Arabidopsis thaliana: one gene and its partners. The protein of the gene in region 4 interacts with the protein of the main gene of each other region in a pairwise test. Each region holds a gene or a part of one and is shown on either strand. Other genes may lie near its edges. The genes, in order: PRA1.B5, p24beta2, REP and RHA1.

Region 1 (3,451 bases), about 18 Mb from region 4:
CTTGAAGCATCAAATAATAATTCAATCTCCTTTGAGTCACATGACAAACACGATTCGACAAAGAAAAGGAAGATACGAAGAATCACCTTGGAGCAAGAGATCGGCCATGGAAGGTAGAGGAGCTGTCGATTCGAGCGCCTTGGTTGGCGTAGAATCCGAGACGGACTGAAGAATCCGGCCAGCGACTTCCCACCGGAAACCATCGCCGCTGGAATCGGAAAATAAATGCCACGTCGACATTTATTCAGTTCTAGGGTTTCCAAGTTTTCCGATTCGTCGTTATATGATTCAGCCGGAGAACTAAACCTCGCGATTCAGAATTGCCTACCACGCCAAGAGGGAGGAGTCGGGAGTGCGGAATTTTTATTTTTATTGTTTTATTTTCTTTCCCCAAACCAAAATCATCACCAAAAATCCAAAAAGTTAAAAGTTCTGACAAAGGCGGGAAAGTTGAAAAAGATTTGGGCCGAAATTATGAGACGCGTGGTTTTATTTTAACTTTGGGCTTGGTTTTTACGGACATAGCGTTCCAAGACAAGTGTGATATTGCCACGGCCTTTTATTGCGGTAACTAACGGCACGAATGCTAACCCGAAATCGTTCCAAACAATAATTGCTTACGTGGACATTTTAAAACATCTGTTCAATGTGATTGGTGACTGACTTCAATGAAAATTACATTGCAACAATGGTCAAGTATCACAGAAAATTACATTGCAACAATCTCCACCTTCAAATCTCTAAACACGCCAGATTCTGAGAACTATAATTTACACGGGGGAAGCCGCTGAGGAGGCAGAGGGTGCTACAGAGGGGATCGCGGGAACACCGATGAATGAGAGGAATCCGGAGGCGGCATGATCTTGTTCGTCGAGGAAGAGATCATCGGGAGCTCTAAAGGCGCCATGGACACAGATTGTTGCTATTCCGATCATGAGAGCGGATATCAATACAGATCCGACGCTTGTGAAGAAGATCACTGCGATCGTGGAGAGGATTAGGCCACCGAGAGTTTCGTATTCGGAGAAAGATCGGCCGAAGAGGATAAGAGGACGATCTGATGGACGGAAGAGGTAGAGGAAGAGCCAGGAAGCGGCGAGACATAGGAGGAGGATGAGAGAGAATGGGTGGGCGAGAAGAGAGAAACCAAGGATCAGAGCGACAATGCAAACGTAATTCACCCTGAAATAAGAGGAATTTTTCCGGAATCGCGTCCCGGCCTCGGAGAGAGAGTCAGGCTTTGTGAAAGCGGATCGATCGAGGAGCTCTGACCACGGACGGCTACGAGATAGACCACCACAGACCGTCTCGGTCACACCGTTGACAAATGCACGGACGACTGGAGGTTGCGATTCCACCACAGCGGTTACAATCGGAGGCTGATTGGTGGTGTCTGTTGCGGTGGTGGAAATTGGAAGAACAGGGGGATTTGTTGACACCATTCGATTTTGTTCTTTTGGGATTTTGAGATTGGAAAATTTTAGGAGACGAATGATTTAGAGGTTGCTGAAGTTGCGGTAGTGTTATGTATATATAGGATCACAATTACGCGTCTTTCAACTTTGATTATACACCTTGCTTCATCTGATAGCTAATCTATATTCATTTGCTAAAATAAAAATAAAAATAACCTCCTGATATTATAACTCAGGTTATTTTTTTGCTTAACGTAGTTTATACAATAATTCTTGATTACTTAGGCAAAGTGCATTTGACCATTAATGTTCCAGTCACAGGAAGTTTCCCTAATAGAAAATATTTTTAACACAATGTTGATCTGTCATATGGAGTAGTAGACTTGACAATGTCAAATCCTTTTTTCTTTGATAACATTCATCTTCGAATTCTAAACATAATTATATCTAACGAGTAGACAAAGACTAAATAACCATTGTTTACCCTGATAGTAAGTTGTAGCATCATATATAGCATAAATGTTATTTCTTAATGCAACTCCATCAAACCTTAGATATGTTTACAATACGAAGTAGTTCAAAGTTACTTGATCGATGAGAGTAGATCATACATTTCAAGACAATCACACTAATCACCTACCACGGAATTAAAGAGTCGCCCCGTTCCAACCAAAGAAGGATCCCTGCAAGAAGAACCACACGAGAAAAGAAATGTATAATTGATATATCAGGTGGTTATAGGCATAAACACTCCAGATGATGGATGACCCTCTAAGCCAGTTAGACAACGGATTTAGAGAAGTTGAACGAATCTCCTAAATAACTCAACAGTGTGGGTGTAAAGATTGAATTCGAGTAGTGGAACGGTTTATGCATTTGATTTAATTGTTTATAATGCCTAGTTTATGAGTAAAAGTTATAGGTCCGTCTTATGATGATGAACTTACACACATAAGATGTATTTGTTCCCTATTCATGACCTAGTAGTGCTGGTGTAAAGCGTGTAAACATTGTGCATATTCTTGACTTTGATGGTCCTAGAGAGACAACGAACAATGAAAATGAGACATGGACGCATATCGGGCATATGAAATCATTAACACATTTGCATATGTTATGTCACTACATCAAAAAAGTTATCAGAGAGAGGGAATTGCTTGCCTTGGTGTCATAAAACTTGAGGAAGAATCGAGACTTGGGCACCGATAGCTTAGTCTCAAGAATGGCGGAAACAGCAGCGCTTAGCTTCTTGTTCACATCCGCATTAAGGCCACCGATAGAAACTAATTCACCATAAGCTGCAGGATCCTCGGTCCCGCCAAATGACATAGGCACTGAGCCTTTCAAGACAATCATCACATACTGCAAATTACCACAATGAACAATGCAATCAGATAATGATCTAAGAAACAACATTACAGGACAAAAATATTTAAACATCACTAACATAAACAAGCAATCGTCAAAGCAGACCAATATTGTTTTTGAAAACAAACTTCAGCAATGAGAAATTCAAGGGCCAGGAATGGCCTAGAAATCGTGGTAAAATAAAAAAGAAGAACCCCAACGAAGATTGTACAAATAAGTCAAGAGAAGACTCCGGAAATGTGAACCACTAGAATAGAACGGAGCAACGAGATAAAATTGCTTAGGGTTTCTATATCATGCATGTGAAGAAAACAACACTCGAATCGCTGTTATTCAATAAGGAGAAGAAAATGATTAAGAGATAAAGACGCACACAAGGCAAATCTCAGGAGAAAACGAAGAATCGAAACAAAATTCGAACAGAACGAAACGAACTAGAGGTTAAATCGAGAGAGAAAAAGGGATTACGTTCTCAGGCTTGCCGATGATTTTCGCGACGGTGGAGGAAGCTTCCGAGAGAATGGAAGATGTATCGACGCCGTCAAGGTTAACGTTGGTGGAGAGGTTGAGGCACGGCATTTTCTTCTTCTTCTTCGTCTCTATCACTCGACGCCAATTTTTTTTAGTCAAGCGGATAAAGAGAGTAAGACCACCCAGGAATTTTCCCC
Region 2 (4,221 bases), on a different chromosome or scaffold from region 4:
CAGATTCTCACACTAACTTTGCCCCTAAACTTACCGTAATTTTCCTGCAACATTGCAATGAAAACGCTTCCCCAAGCACCAGCTCCTACACCAACGATCCTTAACGGGTCGTCATCAGCTTTACCCATTACTCTACGAATCTCATCAAGCCTTTCTTCCACCAATCTGCTCGGAACTGAATTCGTCTCCACCAAATGATCCATCATCAACAAAGCCTTATGATTTCTCTTTCAGTGACTCAATCCACTAAAAACACAAGCAAGCTATGGAACAAAATCGGACTTCTTGTCGGATTTATCAATGCTTAAAACTGGAGACGACTTTTTCAGGAAAGTTTGTGTTTTTATTTTATTTTCAGGTAACTTGTACGACGACTAAGAAAATGATAGCTGGCTTTATCTATCTACTCTGGGCCCAACTAACTTAGTCTAGTGTCCACTTTTATAACCTTCTCTATAAGAGTTCGAATCCAGTTAAGGGATTTTGAGTACTTTTGACACGTCTTATTCAAAGCTTGATCACATTGTTATTCTCTTTGTTTTAGGGAAAAAAGGTTTTAAGGAATCACTATTTTCTCTATTGAAATGAAAACCTAGCTTGTGGAAAAGTTGTCTGTTAATAAAGAGAAAAAAAAGAATTATCATCACGAGAGGATTAGTTCTTGAACATGGGAGAAAGCAAATCTTCCAATGAACTACGATCTGTCTGTAAAAAGGTTTTAAGTAAAGATTCCCTGGTACATTTTAAGGCAAAATAAGTTCAAAGTCATAATAAACTCGATACTTTTAGACACGAGACATGCCGAGTTTGCGTTCAAACAAGCGACGCAGAAGATAAACTTGGAGAAAACTTGCCCCAATCAGTGCAAACGACTCGAACAAAGCTTTGTGTACTGCTCTTTTGCTCATGTTCTCGTTCACTGCACAAGGAACAACCATATTCAAACCATCACTCAATATTGAAGTGAGAACAACAAATGTGGTTTTTAGAGGAAAAAATGTTACCGATAGCTTGACGATCGGTCTGAGCTTCTAACCAATGTTGTTCAAATTGGATGTTGTAAAGAGCCTCCTCTAACTTTGATATTTGCTCCATCAAGGGAGTGAAATGCTCTGCACAAAAACCATCTTCAGCTAAATACCTCATCACCAAACGAAACTGAAACAAAACTAAACAGATAATCCTTACCGTCCTTTGCGTGTTGATCGTAGTATGCAAAGTGACCAAGCTGTACATCGAAGTCAATGGTTTCATGATAAGGAGACTTGTTTGTGAAACAGAATCTGTAAACCCCTTTTTTTTGGACAACAAAATCATGCTTTGCGCTTATCTGCTCCCTGAAGTCATGAATTTGTTCGCCTGTTGGGCCATGTATCTATTCAAAATGCATCCAAAATATATCAACAACAACAACAACCACCAAATTAACCAGATGGTACAATATAACAGCTTTAAAGAGTAACCAAATTCTTTATCAATACATACTTCAAATTATCTACCAACATTAACAATGGAAATCCTAAGCATTGTTTAGGAATACCAATTCTATTGATTTTCGACGATTTTGCAATGTAGAATGTAGAAAAGTTCAATTAGAAGAAAAAAAGTCATACCACAAGATCTACACCATCCTCGTTAAAATGCCATTGAGAGTCAGACTTGATGACGACGAAAGAGACATGAAGCGTATCACCTTCATATTCAGCCTTGTGGGAGAAACATTCTTCACGGTCTATCACGAATCTAATCCCTAACGTAGCCTGGAAGCTCCATAAGAGCCCTAGTAATACGATCGTACCCTTCAAGCTCATCTGCCACAATAATTTCGAATTATATCAAAGCACAAAACGCAATTCAATCGTTTAGAAGAAGAATCGACTAGAGATTCCAAACCAAACCAAATTGAATTGTTCCAATTTCGATTCCTACGAGGTGATTAGGTTTGACACAGAGAGTGAGAGGGATTTACCTTCTTGAGAAGATCAAATCTGATGATTGATTGATTAGATCGATGGAAACTCGATCTGGTCGATGAGTGTTAAGAAAATTTGAAGATTGATCGGAGTAGAAGACGGTGGAGAGAATTGGATGAGAAAGAGCGAGCTCGTTCAGAATCGGACACGAAGAAGCCTGTTTTGACTCAAGGGGCAGTTTCGTTACCCGACAAGATCATCAAACTATAAACGACGTCGCTTGCTTACTCTTTGGGTTATTTGGTCAGCGGGCTTACGTGGCGTTATATCATTGGAGATAAAACATCTTTAAACCATTTAGATATTGCCACGTCATATTATGTCGAAAATGGAAACTCCATAAAATCAGTACGTTTCATTAGGAAGACTTTATAGGTTTCTCGTTTTTTACTTTGCCACAGTGGAATGTTTACTTGCTTTGCTAAAGAAACAAATGTTCTGACGTGTACCATCAGATTATCTTGTTTGCGGTAACAAGGAGTGTGAGTTTTGGTACGGTTTTCGTTATGAGTTGTAGTCAGATATATTCTTAATTTTCAAATTATCTTTGTTTGTTGGATCGATTATTTCAGTTCGATTCGGATCAAATACGAAGAACATGTTTCTACCCTTACTCTCTCATGCGTTTCCTTAATTAATCAATTTAGGTTCAGGTTTTGAGTTTATAGAAAATGATCAAATTACATATATGGCTGGACCAATATATTCCTATACGAGTGAGACAGATCCAACCATGCCTACACCAACGTTCAATTTTTTTGTAATAAAAAACTACATTTTTGGTTGAAGCACAACGAGGCCTACCTTTGATCCATCTTAAAGCTGTTGAAATGTCCTCATTCAACATTCACTTGAAGAAGTTCCTAAGTCCACTGAAGAGCCGTAGAGCCTTCAGCTCACCACTTCTGATATCTCTCAGTCTCCTCCTCAGAATCTGACCCAAACAAAACAAAAAAAAAAACACAGATTCCACAATATCATGGATCGATCCACAGACTCTTATCTATCGTATTGGCTAGAAAGTTGTTCCTTACGTATTGAGCACGGTACAGTATCCTGCGCTCACTAGTGGACAAGTCTACAGCTAGCTGTTTCAGAAACGCTTTTCGGTTCAACTGTTTTGGAGATGTTATGTCCAAATCCATTGATCCACTTTCCTACAATTAGATAATTGACAAAGCAAACTATAAGCAGATGGAGTGAAAATTTTCCCACAAAGAGAGAGAGATGAGCTGTTTTGTTACTTACCTTTAGAAATCGGCTGTACTTTGATATGCTTGTTTCGCATGAGTCCAGTATGAACTGCAATGCGTCTTCCTCGATTTCAGGATATTTTAGATCATTCTTTGTTGATGTCTTATTTGAAGCAGCTTTCGCCATCTGAAATGGATAATAATTGATAAGAGATGTATTATGAATTTGGGAAGAATTGGATGGTAAAAAGGGTCAAGATGGAGTTGCCAAACCTCTTCAAAGTTGTTTCTCATATCTGGAGGGCTCACCACAAGATAAGCATATGCCATTAGCTCCATTGGCCAACCCGTTATCCTTACGGGAAAGCATTGAGGTCTGCCAGAGAAAAGTTAACACAAACAATCAAAACAAAACTCAAGTTAATCAAGAGAGATCTACAAATTTGAGAGGGGAACATGGATGGTGGAGAATGGAATACGTCGATAATCCGTGTTTCTTTAAAGCATCCAGCTTTTCCTCGTAACACTTATCGTTTTTCCTAAGTGATAATGCTAGTTCTACTGAATCACTAGGATTGGTTCCTTCTCTGGGAACAAACCCATAAGATAACAATAGCTCTCCGTTAGATTTATTCCCATAGGATATGAAAACCTGCACAATGTCATGTTACTGAAACATATCAGAGACTTCAGACAACATTGGTTCCACTTTGGACTGACTTACTGAAGCGCTAAAAGGCAAACTGTGTAAACGGGACTTCTTTGTGTTATACACTGACTTATATTAAACTTCAATGCTCGCTCAGGTTATCTGAATGAATTTATCTTATTTACCTGCTCACCTGGTTGATATGGTCGATCTGTTGTAAAGACAACTCCTTTTGAAGATTTATCATAATCCAGGAACGTCTCAACCTTTCCAAGCAGATTTTGAAATATTGATTACCATAAGTCAATCATGCTTTCTGATTAGGAGAATCTAGGAGCTAATTGGTCATAAAGATAAGTAGAAGTACCTCACAATTATGATTAAGCATATCTGCCCATGGAACTAA
Region 3 (5,372 bases), on a different chromosome or scaffold from region 4:
CTGCAAGTCTTTTCAATTTTAAATTTATGCAAAAATCCCCGAAAAGGAGGGTTATAGTCCACGGATTATAGTCTCACGCGCCGAAACGCGCCTGTGATGCGAGTGGTTTTGTATTTTAAATTCCTACACGCGTGTAGTTCTGTTTTAATCTTTAATTGATAGAATTATTTCGGGTCCAATTCCGACGCTAATTCAGACCCAATGGGCTTTAAATTCTGTCAAGTGTCAACCTTTGGGATTGGATAAACGATTGACGATTCTCTCCAGAGAATAACCAAACCCTCATAATTGGGCCTCATAATGAGAGCTTGGCACCACATTACATATGATAACATTAACCCAACGATCTCGAAAAAAGCATTCAAATTCTTAATCTTGACTTCAAAGTCAAATTTCCTAGTCGATAATGATATCTTCCTTGATTTTTTAAGTTTCTGGACTTGGCCATGAAAATCAGAATTGGAGTCGAAATATACGAAATCGGAAGTGTTTATTCAAAGAGAAACATAGAACGATTATGGTTGTGATCGGTAAAAGATGTCTGAATAAATTAATTTCTATACAAATTCATTATTTCTTTTTAGTCGTTGATTTAAAGTTTGTGGAGTTTCAATGGTTAGACAAGCGGTCGTGGATTAATCACTTCTTCTCAATCCTTTATTTCTTCCCTAATCATAGTTGCTCTCTAGTGAATAAGTAAAGAAAATGGCTCACCCTCCCTCTGCCAATCTTCCTGCTTCCCCTCTAATAACGGGGTAACTATATGTTACAATCAAATAAATAAATGGGTATTCTAAGTCTTTAAAACCAATGGTTTCATTCATCAATCAATCTTCTATTTCAACACCACCATCGTTTTCCTCCTCCGTTGTGTTCTCCGCCGGTGAGGTCTCTTCTTTAAATAATTCTTCACTCCCCATGAGCTTTTCATATAGCTACCAAATCCAATATGATAACATTATCAAAACCATAACTTAATGAGATAACTGCTGTAAGGAGCTTCTACTAACCTTCACGGCTGATTCCACTATCTCATTGTAGTTCAAGTTTCCATCTGGACTAGGCATGGAACTGATCGTACCTCCAAATTCACCCTGATCCAAATCAAACTTTTATTTAGTGAAAATGACATTACCAACGTCGAAATGAAAAGGTAAATTCCCAATCACATTTTCCACCTTGACTAGCTCTTGCACGTACAGTGCTCTCCAGAGTAGAATAGGTTTTGTCTCAGAAGTATCATTCTCAACAACGGAATCGCTTTGACGATTCTCGGGAACAGGCAAACTGATGAGATTACTCATGGCTGATAATAGCGCCTTTATCCCTTGGTCATCATTGTCGCACAAAGTTGAAAGATATAAAACATGCCTGCAGCAGCAAATATATATGGCTTAGAGAACAGTTAAAGCTAAGCAAATGGAAAGAAACAGAACTAAAATGGGAAAAGATCATCTTAGGCTAAACCACAACTTACATGTCAGCAGGACAAACCGCTAAACCACTACCAAGCTGCAGAACCCGAATTGCAGTTAGCTGTTCTGGAAACAAAGCTAAGAGGAAAAAACTATTAATGTTAGAACCTTCAAAACGCAAAAGACGATATACATGTAAGTGAAACAACTAACTAGTGGGTCTTCAAAAATTAGCTTACATTTAGGTGGATAAACGACAAGAGCGTTTGATACATTAGCTTTCACAGAACCTCTAATGACGCATACTCCTCTTGCAATTTTCTCCTTATTGATCATCGACTTTGGGACAAGAACACTGAGAGTTTCATTTTGCTGATCTGTCAATGACGACAGAGACTCTAATCCAACAGTAACACATGGATCCAGAATCAACTTTTGGCTGAATATCTCTTGACCAGAAGCTAATCTAACCCCTTTGTAACCCCCAGTTTCCTGCAAAAAGAGTTTAAAATAATCAAGTAAGAATCCTTTCCGTCAACTAAACTTATCTTATGCTACAACTGTCAGCTAACTTGCCTTGTCTAAAAGCAGAGCAGTAATAGGCATCCGGAGAACCTGTGAAAACAATGAAAGACTAAATAAGTAACAAATACCACAACAGCAACACAGTACACAATGCAGAAAATTGTTCCAAACGTACATAGATACATCCTTTGACAGCAGCCCGACGACAAAAGGCTTGTGGAAGTTCTCCTTGTCCATAAATTGGGTATATCAACGCCCCAAGTGCGTTAGAAAACCTAAGGTAGAGAATCAAAAGCTAAATTATACTCAATATAACCAATGATAATGTAAACCAATAAGAAAGATGATCACAAATGTGTAAGAGCCAGGAATGAGAAAATGATGAATGACCTGCCCATAGATGTGATGTATAGAGCCAATCGATCTATCCCCTCTTTGGTCTTGAGTAAATGTCTACAAGTTTCCGTATTGTCTTGATCATAATCTAGCATCGCAATGGCATACAAGATGATCCTACACAGAAGAAGAGGAAACAAAGCCTTACCTATCAACATTTCAGAGACAAAATTCTAAGAAGCATTAAGCAGAGACAAATGTCCAAAGAGCTGCCATTAACAGAGAAGGAGGTTATACGATTTGATTTTGGGTGGTAAACGCATCTTTGACAAGAAGTCCACAAATGGACTCTCCATATCTTCCTCCGATATCTTGACTGTTGTTGAATCATCTTTTTCGGTAGAAGAAGCCAAGTGACTTTGAACAAGCTTGAAGAATTTCATGAGCTGATTCTTCTCCAACAGAGTCAAGCTCTTGTCCTTGAATATAGCAGCTCTCGAATCCGGCACATTTCGTAGCTCACCGCTCGAATCCCCAACGAAGCTGGCATCGATGCTCTTGAACTCAACGTAGTTGTTAGCTCCTGATTTCAGCATGAGATTAATTGATTCATCGGCACAGAAGACAACCCTAGGACCAGCCAAGTCAACGTTGAATCTTCTAGAGTGTTCTTCGAGGATCTCCGATTCGAAGCTCGAAATCTCCACGGAGGAATACAAGGATCGGTTAACGAGATCCACGGAGATAAAATCATGGTTGTTTGACGGAGGGAGAGGAGGAGATGACGGCGACGGAGGAGGAGAAACGGAGTTTGAGTGAAGGAAAGAAGTGAGATCGGGAAGGGAAAGAGAGGCGAAGTGAGAGCCGTAGAAGGGGTTAGGGTCGAGGTGGAGAACAGAACTACCGGAGGAGGAAGCAGCGGCGGCTAAGACGGACTCAGAGACTCCGGTGCCGACGACAATGAGATCGTAGTTGGAAGGATCAAGCGGCGGGTAAGGAGGGATGTCGATCATGGTGGCTCGAACAGATTTGTGTATCAAAAGTCGAACCAACGTGACTTCAGTAGCTTGATCGATACACGAGCGTTGAATAATCTGGGAAGATGTTGAGATGAGTGAGGAGAATCGAGGAAGAGGTTCAAGAGAAGAAGAAGTTTCTTCTTACATTACATATACAAACGTAATGGGCCTAAGATGTAAATGAATAAAAGAGGTAAGTGTGAATCGGCCCAACATGGCCCATCTTCTTAATCAACGCATAGACTATAGGGTCTACTGTTTTTCTTATGTTAGAAACTTAAAATATGATTTTTTTTTTTATATAAACGGTTTAATTGAAGAAAATAGAGTTTATACTTTCTTCGTTCACTTTACTGGTCAGTGGTCCACTTATAATGTGATTTTTTGAACTATTTTCTTTGTTGAATATAAAAGAATTTTATATATCTTGAAAAAAAAAAGTGTTAGATAAAGATTGCGAAGATTTCTTTTGTTTGTTGTGATTATGAAAATCTTCTAACCACTTTTAACTAATAATAGAGATATACCACATTCTTCTGGATAAAAGCAGATTTAACTAACTAAATAAAAGAAATCGAAAAACGAATTCACGACGACTATTAAATCTCCGAAACCCCATAGTCCTAGTAAAAACACACACACGATGGAGAAGAAGATTAGTGATATGGATGTGTTTGTTTGCAGAGGAATATGGTATATAATGACTCTACTCTCACTTTTTGGCCTCTCCAAATCACTCAATCTTCTCTGGCCACCTGGAGATTCATCGTCTCAGTCCTTTAGGGACGGTGCGGTCAGTGTCACAACATTCTACGCAGTGACGCTACTCAGATATCTTTTTTTCACCGCTCCTCCTTCCGCTTGCTACAAGGAGTTTACTACAAAGTTGGAGAGAGTACCTCAGGTTTTGTTTTCGACATTTTCCGCAAATTTAGCGTTGGCATTGCCCTTAATATATGAGCTATTGACAAACAAAGAGTTTGAATTGTCCATGTCGTTATTCACCATCTCGTTGTTCACCGGAGGGTTAGGGCTGATTCAGCTATCGGATAAGTTTAGGATGGAGATCGGACATGCTTTGTACACGCTCTTCCTCGGTTGGTTATCTTGTCTCTTTAGCATGTCTAACAATCTATACCGGGGTGACTATAAGGTACTGTTATTGTTTTTAATATCAGTACCTCATTTTTTGCTTTCCTTTGGGCCCGCGTATAATTTCTCCAAATGGGAAGACTCGGACACTTTCTCTGCCTACCGAGCAATAGAGGACAAGCTTGACACACATGCTATGACTACACTTTCTATCTAAGTATATCAATGTTTCCTTACATTAAAGTAATGGCTTTTGCAAGTCCATCATATTTTACTTTGATGTAAGATTAATCTGGATTTTATAGCTATACAATTACTCATATGGATTTCCTTTAACTTGTAATAGACAATAATAAGTCTTAACATCATCGTGAACAGAAACACAAATAAACAAGAAAGAACACCTTATTCATAAATAAATATACAGAAAGATGACATTACAGCAACATTGTATGCATCTACCTCTGATTTCTATCTTCGTATATCTACCATATCGCGTAGTTCAACTCCTATGAATTCATTCGAATAGTCCACTCTGGTCCGGTTCAGAAGTGCTTCACACCTGTTTGTTTCCAGTGAAATAATAAAACGTGAGATGGTTCAATCGAATATGAGAGGATGACATTCGTCCTCGCTTTGTGTATGCACTAACATATCAATGAACTCAAGTACCAGGGAAAAAAAAGCTTTCTCCCACACAAAAAGATAAAATTTTGACTTACCAGTTTTTGGGGAATTGTGATAAGAATAAATGAGAAAAAGTAGAGACAAGTGCAGATTATGAGTGCTGAGATCGTGTTGTAGACAAGGCGTTTGTCGTCCTTGGTTGGTATGAAGGCTGTTTTCAAAGTGTTGGTAAGCTCAAAGAGCCTATAAGAGATCTGAAAACAGAGCAACAAAAAGCCAATCAGTTTGTTTGTATCTGTCTGGCTTTCAACTTGTTTCTATCTGTTGTAGCAGGGTTTGCTTACAGCGACGTAAATCG
Region 4 (4,330 bases):
TCACAAATACTGAAACAAACAAGTCCAACTAAAGGAAAAGCTTGTTGTACACAACATATAAAACATGTTGCAAATGGGAAACAGGTTTGGAAGACACGTGGGAAGTGGAAGGGATGGGAGTCTCCGATCACCCACAGATCGTTGTGACGTCTTTGAGACGTTGGAAAGTTTCAATTCCGGCCAAAATTTGTTCAATCGGCAGATCTCAATCTTGGCCCAAAGATACAAAGGCGAAATTCATATTTTAGCTTTGACGAGAATATGACTCCACTTTATTCAAATTTGTGAATCTTCTTCTTCAAACAACAGCTTTTCAATCTTCAAGTTGCAGTTCATCAATTGGAAATCGAAAGCTTTGACAAGAATATCATTCCACTTAATTCATAGCCGGACGAAGATGCTATCGAAGTGAGACCAAAGTCATTGGAGAAGAACGCCGGCAAAATCTGAACGGAAAAACTTCTTTCTCTTTGAAAGATGAAAGAAGAGAAGGGAGAGAGAAGCAATGCCACTTTTTTTTTTCAAAGGTGTTTCTTTTATTGATATATACATTCATATTACAGCATTCCAACAATGGAAAAAACATTTTGGAGATTTAAGTAATACAAAAGATAATAAGCCTATAAATCTGAGCATTCACTTAAAACATAAACGAAAGATAAGCACATTTTTTTCGGACTAAGTTTTGTTTTCTAATTACAAAAGAGATATATATATATAAATCTCTCCAAATACAAATATCTTCAGATTTCACAAAGGCAGAATAAGTATCATCATGATATACACTGTTGTTGTTGTCAATGCAAGCAAAGTAAAGTAACAAAGACGAAGAAGAAGCAAACACATGAAAGTCCAGATGTTCTCTACTATGTGACTAACCAAATGAGATCTCTCTTCAGGTACGAATCTAAGCACAACACGATGAACTCACTGCCGTAGCCCCTGGCCCGTTTGGGAGAACCATTCCTGTCGGGTTTTCAGCTGGCTGTACACGTGGTAGCCTTTTCGCTGTAGCGGTTTGAACAAGAGAAACAAAAGTGAAAAAGGGATTTAATTGAAAACAACTAATTGTTGGAAATAGCTTTCTTGATGAAAGAATGACTCACCTATTTCGTAGAATATGTCTTTGACATTTGTTGCGGTCTTCGCTGAGGTTTCCATAAAGAAAAGGCTGTTCTCTTGAGCATATATCTCTGCCTCCTGTAAATAACAATATCAAGAACTACTTAACAACACAACTCAGTAATGAAAAAAACAAGTCGGTAGGTGATGTAATAGAAGATTTCACAGGCACCAGTCGAATCTCATCCCCGAGTGTTAGTTAACATTTTCTCCCGGTACTTTCGAATTTCATCAAGATTTTTGGCATTAGCAAAGCAAAATCAGACAGCAAAAGAAAGAAAGATTTAGTTTACCTCTGCAGACACCTTCCTTGCGTCTAATAAATCAGCTTTGTTTCCAGCAAGAGCCATCACCATATTAGGGTTACCTATTCACATGATCCACATTAACATATAATGATACCAAATAAACCACACCAACTATCAGAAAGTAGGAATCATAAACTAGCTAAAACCAAAGTCAGCTATTCCATACCTTGTGCCTGCAGTTCCTGAACCCATTTCTTCGCCCTCTCAAATGAGGCCTGTGGCAATAGAAAAACAAAAATTAAGCAAACCTAACTTTGCAGAGAGCCTTAAACTGCCACTAAAGTCCACTGATATTCTGTAAGTCAGTGCATTCGTGACTAAAAACACAAGGATCGTGAGTTCGTACTTGATTAGTAATGTCAAAGACAATAATAGCAGCAGCTGCACCCCTGTAGTACATTGGAGCCAAACTGTGGTATCGTTCCTGACCAGCTGTATCCCATATCTCAAACTTCACAGTCGCATCATTCACAGCCAATGTTTGAGAGAAAAAAGCTGCACCAATGGTTGATTCCTACAACAAAACGAGTATCAAAAAGTCAAGAATCAACCACAGGAACGAGAAGAAAACCTCTATCAAGATCACAGGAGGAAAATGCCACCAACCAACCTGAAATTCAACAAACTGATCTTTCACAAACCGTAGCACAAGACTTGATTTTCCAGCTCCAACATCTCCTAGTAATACCTGAAGCGCTTAACCAAGTTAACCACCAAAAACAAAATAAAGGGGGAAAAAAACAGATTTTTCTTCTGACTCGTTAGAACCCTAAAACAAAACTACCAGATCGAATAAAATCTATAACCTTTACTCCAAACCCTAGTTTTATACTGATAAACCATGCGATTTCTAATTCGATCACAATCATCCAATTTCAGATCAGAGAATTTGGTTGAAAATTCCCCAAATTGGAAACAGAACTAACTCATCGAAATCAACGATCTAATCAAAATTGACGATCATCCTTCAAAGGATAAGCAAAATCCAGAAGAATTAAACTGACCAATTTGGCGTTGATGTTCTTGTTTCCAGAGCTAGCCATGATTGACTGATTGATTGATCTGAAACAGTATTTGAAGCTCGAGAAACTTCTGCTAAAATAGAAACAAAATTGAAGATGGAACCACGCGTTGACAATCGTAAGACGGAGAAGAGAGACCGAAGAAGCTTCCGTCAACAAACAACCAAATTTCTCTCTTTGTATCTCTCTCTCTCTCTCTCTTGAAGACGAAAGCAAAAAAACAGAGAAGAAAGAAACAACTTTTTTATACGGCTCGTGAATATGACAAGAGGAGACTTATAACTAAAAAAACCACAAGATTATCGAAATTACGATAAATCCCTATATTTGTCTAAAATACTAAAAACGCCCCAAAAACAAAAATATGTTACACGCTGACCTTCATATATTGTAGACGATGTCTCTTAATAATAAAGTCGATAATTGTGTATAGTTTCGTTAGTATTTCATAGATTCTTTGTAAACCATGGTTAGTCTCCCTTTTTTCAACAAAATCCAAAAATTTTGGTGGTAGTGATGGGACAAAATGTACAACCATGTTCATTTCATAGTTAGCAATAACAACGAATAATAGCGATTACTATAAACTATAATGATTAAAAATAACGACTAAAACATGTTTTGTAATCTTTAGTCACAAGTTGTTAGTTATGTAGTCCTTGGTTCAAAAAAAATAACATTTTAAATTATGGATTAGTAGTAGTCAATTATTACTTATGATATTTGTCTTTATTAATAACAAATGAAATAAACACAAATATTGTCAATACAATAGAAGCATTGTGGCGAGTGTTTAGCCAAATCCTCAATAGTAGGTTGTTGTCTCACGCGTCAAAACTGGCCGTGTGATTTAATTTTGTCGGTCATGAAGTCGTATTGGACGGTTTAAGACGAGACTGTTTTACATGTTTTGGTACCTAACTCGAAGATACTATGAATCAAATTTCTTTGGTAGTCAAAAAGAAAAAAAACTTTCTGTGTAGTCGAACAAAATATCGCTATCTACACAAATGCTGAAATGCACGTTTTTCCATATGGGTTATGGGCTTTCATCAGTGGAGCCAATTATTTAGAATTGAAGACGAGAAATTAATTTTAACTTGTTTATTTTGAAGAACAAAATTGGATGACAAAACATTATGGATGTTCAGAATAGCTATAAGATGTTATTGCTAAGTACCATTTTTGAAGGATAGCTATAACATGTTAGTAAAAAAAACTTGTCTATAACTTATAATTATAGTGAAATGACGGAATAACTGAATAATTATTAGTGGAATGAATTGAACTGAATAAATTAGTTTAATGGATGAAAATATAGTTCTAGTGGATTAATCATGTTTTTTTCTAGGTATATTGACATGCTAGTAGCCTAGTAGTATACAGCCGAATTACTTTTCGAAAACGTGAAATCGAAAAAAATTTGATAAATATTTTGAATGTAAAAAAATAGCGTTTGAAAACGTGACTAAGCGATATACCATTCATCCTTATAGTAATTTTTTGCTTAGGGAGTTTTTTTTTAGAGGAATGTTCATTCTATTACATTTAACGTAAATGGTAAACTTTTGTCAAAATATTACAAATGTTTCATCCAATCATAATCTATCCATCTAGGCTCTAAATACACATCTATTTTCACGGGAACATCAAAAACGTTACACATGTATACTGTGTGTGTATGCATTAATTTGTGGTGTATAAACAAAGAAATTTTAACAGATCATGTTGTTTTGTCCCTTTGCACAACTGAAAGTCTAATACACCTCGTATTCCACGACGATTTGTTCCCAAGTTCCATCTTCCAACTCATTCTCTCTATATATAGTAAAGTCTCCACCTCAGGAATAATCATTAATCCAAAAGAAGAAAAGTAAT

What was found.
Region 1: the proteins of RHA1 (region 4) and PRA1.B5 interact in a two-hybrid assay, tested with the Arabidopsis thaliana proteins (one large-scale study listed by BioGRID).
Region 2: the proteins of RHA1 (region 4) and p24beta2 interact in a protein complementation assay, tested with the Arabidopsis thaliana proteins (one large-scale study listed by BioGRID).
Region 3: the proteins of RHA1 (region 4) and REP interact in a two-hybrid assay, tested with the Arabidopsis thaliana proteins (one large-scale study listed by BioGRID).

Annotation. Positions count from the first base shown.
Region 1 is NC_003076.8:240,672-244,122, forward strand, and holds PRA1.B5 (prenylated RAB acceptor 1.B5), read right to left. Parts: upstream 1,652-3,451; 5' UTR 1,443-1,651; coding exon 771-1,442; 3' UTR 541-770; downstream 1-540. Other genes in the region: BRCA2B (BRCA2-like B), read right to left, coding at 87-240; AT5G01650 (Tautomerase/MIF superfamily protein), read right to left, coding at 2,396-2,452, 2,577-2,777, 3,252-3,362. UniProt on the Arabidopsis thaliana protein: May be involved in both secretory and endocytic intracellular trafficking in the endosomal/prevacuolar compartments.
Region 2 is NC_003074.8:2,453,217-2,457,437, reverse strand, and holds p24beta2 (emp24/gp25L/p24 family/GOLD family protein), read right to left. Parts: upstream 2,200-4,221; 5' UTR 1,970-2,199; intron 1,812-1,969; coding exon 1,614-1,811; intron 1,376-1,613; coding exon 1,189-1,375; intron 1,113-1,188; coding exon 1,005-1,112; intron 920-1,004; coding exon 786-919; 3' UTR 520-785; downstream 1-519. Other genes in the region: AT3G07690 (6-phosphogluconate dehydrogenase family protein), read right to left, coding at 1-206; AT3G07670 (Rubisco methyltransferase family protein), read right to left, coding at 2,821-2,907, 3,008-3,130, 3,222-3,353, 3,440-3,542, 3,646-3,818, 4,001-4,081, 4,183-4,221. UniProt on the Arabidopsis thaliana protein: Involved in vesicular protein trafficking. Mainly functions in the early secretory pathway but also in post-Golgi membranes.
Region 3 is NC_003074.8:2,034,374-2,039,745, forward strand, and holds REP (Rab escort protein), read right to left. Parts: upstream 3,419-5,372; 5' UTR 3,290-3,418; coding exon 2,574-3,289; intron 2,454-2,573; coding exon 2,331-2,453; intron 2,216-2,330; coding exon 2,116-2,215; intron 2,031-2,115; coding exon 1,992-2,030; intron 1,908-1,991; coding exon 1,655-1,907; intron 1,554-1,654; coding exon 1,478-1,553; intron 1,372-1,477; coding exon 1,179-1,371; intron 1,095-1,178; coding exon 1,011-1,094; intron 936-1,010; coding exon 828-935; 3' UTR 540-827; downstream 1-539. Other genes in the region: AT3G06545 (uncharacterized protein), read left to right, coding at 3,939-4,437, 4,528-4,604; RWA2 (O-acetyltransferase family protein), read right to left, coding at 5,035-5,268, 5,359-5,372. UniProt on the Arabidopsis thaliana protein: Substrate-binding subunit of the Rab geranylgeranyltransferase (GGTase) complex. Binds unprenylated Rab proteins and presents the substrate peptide to the catalytic component composed of the alpha subunit RGTA and the beta subunit RGTB.
Region 4 is NC_003076.8:18,242,638-18,246,967, reverse strand, and holds RHA1 (Ras small GTP-binding family protein), read right to left. Parts: upstream 2,706-4,330; 5' UTR 2,474-2,705; coding exon of another isoform or gene 2,435-2,473; 5' UTR 2,300-2,434; coding exon 2,237-2,299; intron 2,119-2,236; coding exon 2,041-2,118; intron 1,945-2,040; coding exon 1,777-1,944; intron 1,646-1,776; coding exon 1,597-1,645; intron 1,490-1,596; coding exon 1,416-1,489; intron 1,201-1,415; coding exon 1,107-1,200; intron 1,009-1,106; coding exon 908-1,008; 3' UTR 518-907; downstream 1-517. UniProt on the Arabidopsis thaliana protein: Involved in the trafficking of soluble cargo proteins from the prevacuolar compartment to the central vacuole. Involved in vacuolar transport of storage proteins with EREX as effector. Regulates membrane trafficking to protein storage vacuoles (PSVs).